3 linked regions of the Macaca fascicularis genome follow. The protein of the gene in region 2 interacts with the protein of the main gene of each other region in a pairwise test. Links are inferred from orthologs where the notes say so. Each region holds a gene or a part of one and is shown on either strand. Other genes may lie near its edges.

Region 1 (3,651 bases), on a different chromosome or scaffold from region 2:
CCAGCCCTGGCTGAGAAACTTTATTTAGGGAAACATGTTTTAAGTCCACATAATAAATTTTGCAAATTAAAAGACAGCTAATATGCTTGTTGTGCAAAATTGGAAAATTCAAAGAAAATAAAGTATCTGAACTCCCTGCCCATTATCATTGTATTGCTGTATTTCCTTTCTTTTCAGGTATTTTTACATATGCTAACATGAACAGATACACAGACGTATATGTACCCAAAAAAACATGGGCGATACACAGTATCATCTCTTTTTTTTGGGGAGATGCCTAGACTGGAGTGCAGTGGGTGTGATCTTGGCTCACCGCAACTTCCTCCACCTCCCGAGTTCAAGCGATTCTCCTGCCTCACCCTCCCGAGTGGCTGAGATTATGGGTGCACACACCATGCCTAGCTAATTTTTGTATTTTTAGTAGAGATGGGGTTTCACCATGTTAGCGAGGCTGGTCTCAAACTCCTGACCTCAGGTGATCCACCCACCTCGGCCTCCCAAAGTGCTGTGATTACAGGCATGAGCTACCGTGCCCGGCCCAGTATCATCTCATTTTTTGCCATGAGGACACTTCCCCGCCCCGTTCCCCCCTCCCCACCCCGCCACATGTCTGAGGCAAGAAAACAAGCACTTTGTTGTTGTTGTTGTTGTTGTTGTTGTTGTTGAGATAGTCTCATTCTGTCGCCCAGGCTGGAGTGCAGTGGTGTGATCTTGGCTCACTGCAACCTCCGCCCTCCGAATTCAAGCGATTCTCCTACCTCAGCCTCCCGAGTAGCTGGTATTACAGGAACCTGCCACCGCGTGCTGCTAATTTTTTGTATTTTTAGTAGAGGCAGGGTTTCACTATCTTGGCCAGGCTGGTCTTGAACTCCTGACGTCATGATCCACCCACCTCAGCCTAACAAGCACTCATTTGTTTTTTTGTTCTTTTTTAAGAGGGTCTCACTCTGTCATCCAGACTGGAGTTCAGTGGCATGATCATGGGTCACTGAAGCTTCAACCTCCTCGACTTAGCTCAACCTCTCACCTCAGTTCCCAGAGTAGCTGGGACTATGGGCGTGCTCCTTTTAAACATTTTTTGTAGAGATAGGGTCTCACTGTGTTGCCCAGGCTGGCCTAGAACTCCTGACCTCAAGCAATCCTCCTACCCCTGTCTCCCAAAGTGGTGAAATTGCGGACATGAGTCACTGCTCCTGGCCAATGGGGACAACTTTTTAAAAAATAACATTCATCTGCTCTCATTTTTCTAATAAAACATTGCCATTTATTATGTGGCTTTATTAGTGTTATCTTTGTTCTAAAAGTGTAGTATAGTGTCTCTAAAGAAGGTTAAGAGTTTGTGTCAGATCAACTGCATCAATAACCTATTTTGTATTTTATTTTAAGATGAAAACTTCCAAATGTATTCAAAAAGGGGATATGATATGTTGGAACAGCTGTACATTGTCTATCTAGATTCAACAACTTAACATTTTGCCATAGTTGCTTTGTTTTTCTTTCTGTATCTATTGTTTTTTTTCTTTTTTTGACTGAACCCTTTGAGAGCAAATTGCAGACATCATATTTTACCTGTAAACATTTAAGCATGCAGCTCTTAAGAATGAAGACATGTTTCAACCAGGCGCAGTAGCTCACACCTGTAATCCCACCACTTTGGGAGGCCAAGGCAGGCGAATCACCTGAGGTCGGGAGTTCAAGACCAGCCTGACCAATATGGAGAAACCCCATCTCTACTAAAAATACAAAATTAGCTGGGTGTGGTGGCACCTGCTTGTAATCCCAGCTACTCGGGAGGCTGAGGCAGGAGAATCACTTAAATCTGCAAGGTGGAGGTTGCGGTGAGCCAAGATCACGCCATTGCCCTCCAGCCTGGGCAACAAGAGTGAAACTCCATCTCACAAAAAAAGAATGAAGACTTTTTTCTATATAACCATAATACCATTATTATACCTAAGAAAATTAATTTTTTAAAAATTTATTTGTAATTTTTGTGGGTACATTGTAGGTGTATAAAATAATAAATTTTATAATATCGAATATCAAGTTTAAATTTCCCTAGTTGTCCCCAGAATGACTATTGTAATTGTTATTTTGAATCCCAGTCTAATCAAGTTTATCAGTCAAGCACATTAAACAAGTCTTTAATCATCAAGCCCCTCAGCTGTTTTTTTCCCCTTGACACTGACTTTGAAGAGCCTGAGCCAGTTTTTTATAGTACATTCTGCATTCTGAATTCATATGATTGTTTTCTCATGTTGTGCTATAACTTGATCCTCTATTCACTTTTTCCCTGTAAACTGGGAATTAGCATTATTAGATTCATTCTAAACATTTTTTGGCACGAATACAGGACATGACTGTATAATGCATCATATCAAGAGGCACATAATGTAAGGGTATCTTGATTTTAGTCTGTCAGCTTAACTGTGATCAGCTTGGATGATTAGAGCTTGTTCTGTACAGTATTAAAGTAATTACTATTGTAGAAACCTGTAGATTTTCCAACATTTACTAAAATATGAAAGGATTGAGTAGTTTATTATTCATACTTAAAATACTTTATTTTTATCTAGAGATGTTTTTATCAAAATAAGGGCAAAAAGTAAATACAATTTTTATCCGTGAAAACTCTAAAGTCTTTCAAAGATCTGTTTAAATCTATATAGTTTTATGTTTTGTATTTCCTACTTATCATTTAGCAGAAATGATGAAGAAATTGTTCTGATGGCTTGCTTTTCTGTCCTTTTCCTACTGCTTTAAACATTAATTTTCTTTTGTACTAAATCGTATAGCCAATTATTGTTTTTTTTTTTTAAGGAAGTCAGTTTTAGGAAATGCTTGTGTTGCTGTTGAATTATAAAAGCTGAGTAAATTTCAGATTAAATTTTAAATGACTGTGAAATAAGACATAAACTAGTTAATGGTAATTTGCTTAAAATGACTTGAGATATTATAATTGGAAGTTTTTATTGATACAGGTAAGAATCGATATTTAATAAAATGTTCTCATGCTTAGACTATATTACTTTTCAGTAGAGAAATTAGTATTTTGCTGTAATGTGTTATGAAATACATGTGATATCCTAGTTTGTCTACTGACACTGGGGTCTTGAATCTTAAAAAAAGGCCTCCGAGGAAGCAGAGGAAAGTGGATCACAGGGAAAATTGGTGGAAGCTCTCAGGCAAATGAGAATTAATCATAGGGGAAACTACCGACAACTTCTGGAGGAGATGCTGACTAGTTACAGGCTAGCTAAAGTAGAGGGAGAAGAAAGCCCTGCTGAACCAGCTGCCACAGCTACTTCTTCGAACAGTGATGCTGGAAACCCAGTGACAATGCAGGAAAGCCATACTGAATCAGAAAGTGGTCTTGCTGAATTAGACAGCTCTAATGAAGATGCAGGGACAAAGATGAGTGGTGAAAAAATATGACTTTTCTTTTTGGTAATATTTTTGTGATCTTTGATGGTTTTTAACTTAGGAAGTGTAATGTATGCATTTATATAACCGTTTTGTTATTTGAATCTTGGAAAACTAGTTTTATTATATTCAGATAGCCTTGTTTTTTAAAAAGGCCTTTGCATACACCTTTATGAGATAGTGTAAAATTGACTATTTATATTAATGAAATTATATGTCATTTCACATTGT
Region 2 (3,651 bases):
TATACTGTGCTTTGGCTTTTTTTTTTTTTTTTGAGACGCAGTCTCACTGTCACTTATGCTGGAGTGCAGTGGTGCGATCTCGGCTCACTGCAACCTCCGCCTCCCAGGTTCAAGCGAGTCTCCTGCCTCAGCCTCCTGAGCAGCTGAAATTACAGGTGCACACCACTATCCCCAGCTAATTTTGTTTTGTTTTGTTTTGTTTGTATTTTTAGTAGAGACAGGGTTTCGCCATGTTGGCCAGGCTGGTCTCAAACTCCTGATCTCAAGTGATCTGCCCTCCTTGGCCTCCCAAAATGCTGGGATTACAGGTGTGAGCCATCACGCCTGGCCTCCAGTACACTGTACTTTGAAGTTAGAGAAATGGTAACAGATCCGGCTCTGACTCCAGCCCCACCAGGACACATGGTTCCTTTCCCTGGAGTAGATGCCCCTAGCTCCCCCTACTGGGGGCCCTCTATTGCTTAGGGAGCAATGGACCATTAGACAGTTACCAAGGTGACAGGCACCTTGGAAAAGGCACTTAGAGTGGACAGCCTTGGGTCATCATCAAGCAGGTACCAGTCTGAGGGCTGAGGGGTGAGGCCGGAAGGAACCATCGGGAACTGACCGGTGAGCTGAGTCAAGCGGAGCTGGCGCAGAGCGTGGCTGGAGTTGGTGTTATAGTTCAACATGACGAAGATGGCAAACTTCCCATCGTAGACCTGGGTCCCTCGCACCACTCGGAGGTTGGGCAATGGTAGAGTAGAGAACTCATTCATGGCCACGAGGACATAGCCTGTCACTTCTCGAATCCACTGTGACAGAGCAGATTATGTCAATGAGAGAGACAACAGGGCAAAAAAATCTCAATCCCCTCTCCTCCTTCAGGCATTAAAGACTCTTAACTCTTAATTCTTCCTTCTTTCTTTCTTTCTTTTTTTTAAAATTCGAGACAGAGTTTAGCTCTTGTTGCCCAGGCTGGAGTGCAATGGCGCGATCCTGGCTCACCACAACCTCCGCCACCCGGCTTCAAGCAATTATCCTGCCGCAGCCTCCCAAGTAGCTGGAATTACAGGCATGCACCACCACATCTGGCTAATTTTGTATTTTTGGTAGAGATGGGGTTTCTCCATGTTGGTCAGGCTGGTCTCGAACTTCTGACCTCAGGTGATTCGCCTGCCTCGGCCTCCCAAAGTCCTGGGATTACAGGCATGAGCCACCGCACTTGACCTTTTTTTTTGGTGAGACGGTCTCGCTCTGTCACCCAGGCTGGAGTCCAGTGGCACAATCTCGGCTCACTGCAGTGTAAAACTCCTGGGCTCAAGCGATCCTCCCACCTCAGCCCTCAAGTAGCTGACTACAGGTGCGTGCCACCAGGCCCAGCTAATTTTTGTATTTTTGTAGAGACAGGGTTTCCCCATGTTGCCCAGGCTGGTCTTGAACTCCTGACCTCAAGTGATCTGCCTTCCTTGGCCTCTCAAAGTGCTGGGATTACAGGCATGAGCCACTGCACCTCTCCTTAACTCTTGCTAATTCCTATTTTGGAGTAGGGAGTAGACTGTGTCACACTACTATGTCACTTCTGGGAGTGAAGACAGGCAGCTTTCTCCTCAAAGCTCCTCATGCCAGGCGGGCCCTTTCTTCATCTCCCCAGGTACCCTCTCGGTCCTCAGGTGTCTCTCTGCGCTAGTCCCTGCTGACCTCGCACTACCACAGAACACCACCTGCCCCGCCCCTGCCTCTGCCCCTGCCCCCTATATATCCCTGGCTACAACAGCGAGACCATAGGTCCCAGATTACAGCCACTGTCCCCAGAAATACGCGGGTTTGGATCTTAGGAACTCCTGAGTCTTAGGAAGGGTGAACTCCAGCAGAAGGTAGCCCTGAAGAGGGAAGGAGGGTTCTAGGGGAGAATAAAGAGGAGCAGGTTGAGGAAGGAGGGTGCACATTAACCTGCAGGAAGGAGAGGTCAGCATTGTGTCCCGTGAGCACAATCTCGAGGTTCCCCATCACCACCTCACACCTCTCGTAGAGCTTGTACAGTGTCTGGTATTGGTTCTCAGCATCGCCGGTCACACTCAGGCCATTCAGAGTCCCAGGACACACTGTTCAAAGCAGAGGGAAGAGTGGCTGAGGGCTGGACACAAATTCACAGCCCATCTGCCATCCCCCAAGATCACCCCCTTGGTTGCCCTCTTCCAGTTACATTAGACAGGATCAGAGGGCATTTGCCTCCAACCCTCCCACAAGCGATAGGCAGAAGCTGTAGTGGCCTGAGAGCTTTCTCTCTTCTCAGAATCCCTTTACCATTCTATGAATGGGAAGGTGAAGATTTCCTTTTTCTACCTGAGACCCCTCTGTGCCTCTTTTGGGTACCACTCTGGGTACTAAGGGGTTAATAGAGAAGGATGACAGTGAATTTGTTTCCCTCCCTAGAAAAGAGAAGTTAGGAAAGGGCCGAAACTTTGATTACCCTCCTCTCCCCCTCCAAGCAGGGCACTCACTTCTCTACCCTCATCCTGCCTCTCTCTAGGTCCTGGAATAAATATCTCTTTGGGGCTAGTACACAGCCCCTATTGTGTCAACTGAGGGTGGGATGGGGGCAGAGGGTGGGGGCAGTGCCTGGGGCCACAGTCCAGCCCACAATGAGGCGATTCTATCCAGGAGGGGGGCTGCCCCACCCTATCCCTAGACACCCCATCCTCAGCAGCACTCCCCTCCACCCTCAAGCCTTGGGCTCAGACAAGTGACCTCAGTAGAGGAGGGAGCTCTGGCAGTGGTGGGGTGGGGGGGGGGTCAATGGGAGCTTTGTGTTTAAAGCTGGAAGATAAGAAGCTGGTTGCCTCCCCACGTTCCTAAACTCAGGCTTTCCTTCTCACTCTCTCTCCCTATCCCAACACACTCTAGCAACCTCAGCATCACTTTCCAGCCCTAGAGTATTTTTTAGCAAATACAGGGACACCTGGAGAGAAATAGTAGGAGATGCCCCACACTGAGCCTCCACCCAATTTCATTGTTAGAAGAGGTTCATGAAAAAGCCTTTCACCATGGCAATCCTCACCCGCACTAGGGGAAAGCCTAGACTAGAGGCACATGGCATGTCAGCCTTGGGAGTTCACTCTTTGCAAATGTGGTGGACAATGGCCTATGGAAAATCCTGGACTCTGAAGCCCTACCCCAGTCTCTTTCTTCTGGTTCAGCGAAAGACCACGTGTGGGGTGGGGAATAGGGGGTAGATACCACCTGTTCCAGCCACCCTTCCCTGAGGCAGTGGTAGTCAGTGGGAGGCAACAGTGGGAATGGAGGGAGGGAGACTGGTGAGGCCCCAATCCCTCTTATATACCCCTAGTCTGAATTCTTGACCTTGGAGGGCTCCTTATCACTCCCCATGAAGGTTGGCTAGTCCCAGCAAAGAGAGCTAGTTCCAGAGGAGCTGGTAACTCCAGGGTCCTTGGGTTGAAATGAAAGAGACTAGGAAGGTTAGTCATTTCTGGAACAGCCCCACCCCAGTCCCCTTCCTGGCAGGACACCCCCTTTCCCAAGTTATAGTGCCAATCCTTCTCCCCAGATAAGGGAGGAGCCAAGTTTTCTGCACAGGGAAGTAGTAGTGTGGGCACACACACACACAACATACACATGAACACGTACACATTGGTCCTGCTGGCCCAGGAA
Region 3 (3,651 bases), on a different chromosome or scaffold from region 2:
ATGCCCAGGCTATCAGTGGGCGTGCCCTGCGGTAAGGACTCCCTGGGGACCCCCCAAATCCTGATCCTTGTGGGGACCTGGATGCTCTCCCCAGCCCATTGCTTACTCATCATGCCCCATGGTCCAGCTCCCCAGGACTTCCCCAGAAAGAAGTAAGGGTACAGCCCTTACCCAGAGAAGGACTGAGGATGGAGCCTCTCAGTGCCTATTTAGATAGGACCCCCAGATCATATTACCTGGGTGCTTATAAAACAGGATTCAGGGTCCCACCCCAGCATTTCTGGCCTATAGCAGCTGCCTCGACAGAACCCAGGTCCAGGCTCCTGATGCATACTCCAGAAGACCCAAGAACCAGTCCCCAGCATTAGCTGCCCAAGGCGCAGGGTCCAGTTCCCTAGCAATGACCCAGAAGAGCCCAGGGCCCAGCCCCGAGCACTTGCTCAGGCCTACAGGGCAGCCCTCGGGAACCAGGATCAGACTTTTCTCCTTAACTGATAGGACTAGGGTCCTGCCACTCAGCACTAAATGCCCCTACAGACCCCAGGGGTCTGGCCCAGCCCTCTTCCAGGGGGTGAGTATCCTAGGTTACTGAGGTGCTGTCTTCTCCCCAGGATCCTGATTGTGGATTGGGATGTCCACCATGGTAATGGAACTCAGCACATGTTTGAGGATGACCCCAGGTAAGGGGCTGCAATCAGGGGCCGCAGTGTGATCAGGGAGGTGGGTGAGCACCTCAGGGGTACTGGAGCCCCTAACCAGCCATGGCCCCCTTCCTACCCCCTCCCCGGCAGTGTGCTATATGTGTCCCTGCACCGCTATGATCATGGCACCTTCTTCCCCATGGGGGATGAGGGTGCCAGCAGCCAGATCGGCCGGGCTGCTGGCACAGGCTTCACCGTCAACGTGGCATGGAACGGGCCCCGCATGGGTGACGCTGACTACCTAGCTGCCTGGCATCGCCTGGTGCTTCCCATTGCCTACGAGGTACAGCTCAGGATAGATCGCAGGATGTATGTGACATGCCTGTGCAGGTGGCAGCCTGGACCTGCCTCCTCAGCATGTGTGCGTCTGACTGCCAGGTGGCTGATGATATGAGACAGCCCATGGGTGATTAATGAGGCTACCGGGGCAATTGGTGACTGTGATCACTTTGTGTATTTGCCTGTGCACAGGTGACTATATGACTGCCTTCTCTGTGTGACACTATGTGGGTGACTATCTTGGCTGTGTGTGTGAGGGCCTTCTGACTATGCAGCAGTGGCCCGTGTCCTGGCTGGATCTGTGTTGTGTGTGTGCCATCACAAGTGCTTGAGTATGTGTGTGTGCGACTCTGTGCAGGCATCACCTTTTCTCTGTGTGATGGGTGTGATATTGTATGTCACTAAATGCAACCATCTCTGTGACAGCCTGTGTGGGACCCTCTGGATGTGAAAGGCTGTGTGTTACAGCAGTCACTGTCTGGCTGTCTGCCCTGGCTATTTATGTGTGTGTCTCTGACTGGGAGGTAGCTGCCTTCCCTCTGTGTGAGCTGGGGGGCTAGTGGCTTGCGTATGGCTGACTCTGGGAGGGAGGGCGGGGGTGTGAGCACCACTCTGTCACCCTGGGCGCTGATGTGCATCTTTGGATCTGCACGTGCGCGGGTGGCCAGGACAGCCTTCTGTATGTGTACAACTGTATGTGCAAGTAACCAGCTCTTGTGGACACACCAGAGTGCATGTCACCATTGTTGCTGTGTGGTAATGGCATGTGTATGTGACTCTGCAGGGTGGCTGTGGGTTACTGTCCTCTTTGAGAAACTATGTGTGTGTGTGTGTGTGTGTGTGTGTGTGTACATGACTAGTGCAGATATGTAGTACTGGTCTATATGGGACTGTGTGTGGCAGTACTTGTGGCTCTGTGTGACTATCTTCTCTGTGTGTGGCACTTGCATTGCCATCTTCTGTTATGGAAGTGTGCAAACACCTCTCTTTGACACTATGTATATAAAACCCTATATGTTGTGTATGTGTGTCCCACATTTGACCCTGGGGTGTGTGTGTGTAAGGACATGTCTCTGTCTCTCTGTTTTTCATGTCACTCTCTTGACATCTGAGTCTGTCTCATGTCTCATGACTATGTCTCATGTCCCCATCTGTCCCTTTCTACTGTCTCCAGGTCTCTAAGTCTGCATCTGTTTCTTCTGAGTCTGTATTTCTTTTCTTCCCCTCTTCATTTTCAGTCTCTGCTTCTGCATCTCCCAGTCTGCAGATCCTGTGTCTCCATCTCTCTGACTGGCATCTCCATGTCTTCATTTGTCCTTTTCTCCATGTCTCTGGGTCGCCATCACTTACTATCTACCAAAAGCCCCCACCCTCATGCTTATACATCTCTTCTCTCCCTGCCTCAGTTTAACCCAGAACTGGTGCTGGTCTCAGCTGGCTTTGATGCTGCACGGGGGGACCCGCTGGGGGGCTGCCAGGTGTCACCTGAGGGTTATGCCCACCTCACCCACCTGCTGATGGGCCTTGCCAGTGGCCGCATTATCCTTATTCTAGAGGTAATTCTCTCTTGGTCCCTCTTCCCACAGTGGGAGGGTAGTTTGGAAATGTTGGCACCATCACTCAGGACAGTTTCCTGAAATCTCCTTTGAGTGTCCCTGCCTGGGATTGTTGGCACATACTGGGTAGTAATAAGAATAACAGCAACATTAACAGCCTTAATTGAGTGCTCACTATGTACAGAGCACTCTTCTGAGCACTTCATGTGTCTTATTCATTCAGTTACTTGGCAAGGCAGCCTTATGAGGTAGGGTCAGCTTACCTCATTTTCCTCTCTCAAGGTCAGGGAAACTGAGGCACAAAGAGGTGTGATGACTAGCCTGAGATGGCACATTTACTGATGGCAGAACCAGGACTTGAACCCATGCAGCCTGGCTCCAGGGTTTGTACTTTTTACTCTACCTAAACTGCCTCTAACAAGTTCCTGGGACAAAGGAAATTCACTGACCTTTGTAAATGGCCCAGTATCCCTATGCCCTGTGCCTCAGTTTCCTCATTTTTATGAGGCAGGCTAATCATGGAGGAATATCTGGCATATGGTAAATGCTGAATCTGTTGGATCTGGTTTTTTGTTCTTTTGTTTTTCTTTTTTTTTTTTTTTTTTTTTTGAGGCAGAGTCTCACTCTGTCACCCAGGCTGGACTGCAATGGCACGATCTCAGCTCACTGCAGCCTCCACCTCCTGGGTTCAAGTGATCCTCCTACCTCAGCCTCCTGAATCACTGGGATTACAGGCACCAGCCACCACGCTCGGCTAATTTTTGTAGTTTTAGTAGAGATGGGGTTTCACCATGTCTGCCAGGCTGGTCTTGAGCTCCTGGCCTCAAGAAATCCACCCACCTCAGCCTCCCAGAGTGCTGGAATTACAGGCGTGAGGCACCGCGCCTGGCCCCTGGTTACTGTTATGCATTGTTCAGATATTAATCGGCTCAGCAACCTTCTGTGCTCTTATTCTCTTTTCTTTTCTTTTCTTTTCATTTTTGTTTTTTGTTTTTTTTGAGACGTTGTCTTGCTCTGTTGCCCAGGCTAGAGTGCAGTAGCGCAATCTCGGCTCACTGGGTTCAAGCAGTTCTCTGCCTCAGCCTCCCAAGTAGCTGGGATTACAGGTGCCTGCC

The links.
Region 1: the proteins of ERBB3 (region 2) and PPM1B interact in a two-hybrid assay, tested with the Homo sapiens proteins (2 studies listed by BioGRID and IntAct, with this or other methods). The link is inferred for Macaca fascicularis from reciprocal best matches to the Homo sapiens genes ERBB3 and PPM1B.
Region 3: the proteins of ERBB3 (region 2) and HDAC6 interact in a protein complementation assay, tested with the Homo sapiens proteins (2 studies listed by BioGRID and IntAct, with this or other methods). The link is inferred for Macaca fascicularis from reciprocal best matches to the Homo sapiens genes ERBB3 and HDAC6.

What each region holds. Positions count from the first base shown.
Region 1 is NC_088387.1:77,825,579-77,829,229, reverse strand, and holds part of PPM1B (protein phosphatase 1B), read left to right. Parts: intron 1-3,126; coding exon 3,127-3,432; 3' UTR 3,433-3,651.
Region 2 is NC_088385.1:62,869,344-62,872,994, reverse strand, and holds part of ERBB3 (receptor tyrosine-protein kinase erbB-3), read right to left. Parts: intron 2,085-3,651; coding exon 1,933-2,084; intron 795-1,932; coding exon 608-794; intron 1-607. UniProt on the Homo sapiens protein: Tyrosine-protein kinase that plays an essential role as cell surface receptor for neuregulins.
Region 3 is NC_088395.1:48,977,704-48,981,354, forward strand, and holds part of HDAC6 (protein deacetylase HDAC6), read left to right. Parts: coding exon 1-31; intron 32-611; coding exon 612-680; intron 681-791; coding exon 792-984; intron 985-2,386; coding exon 2,387-2,536; intron 2,537-3,651.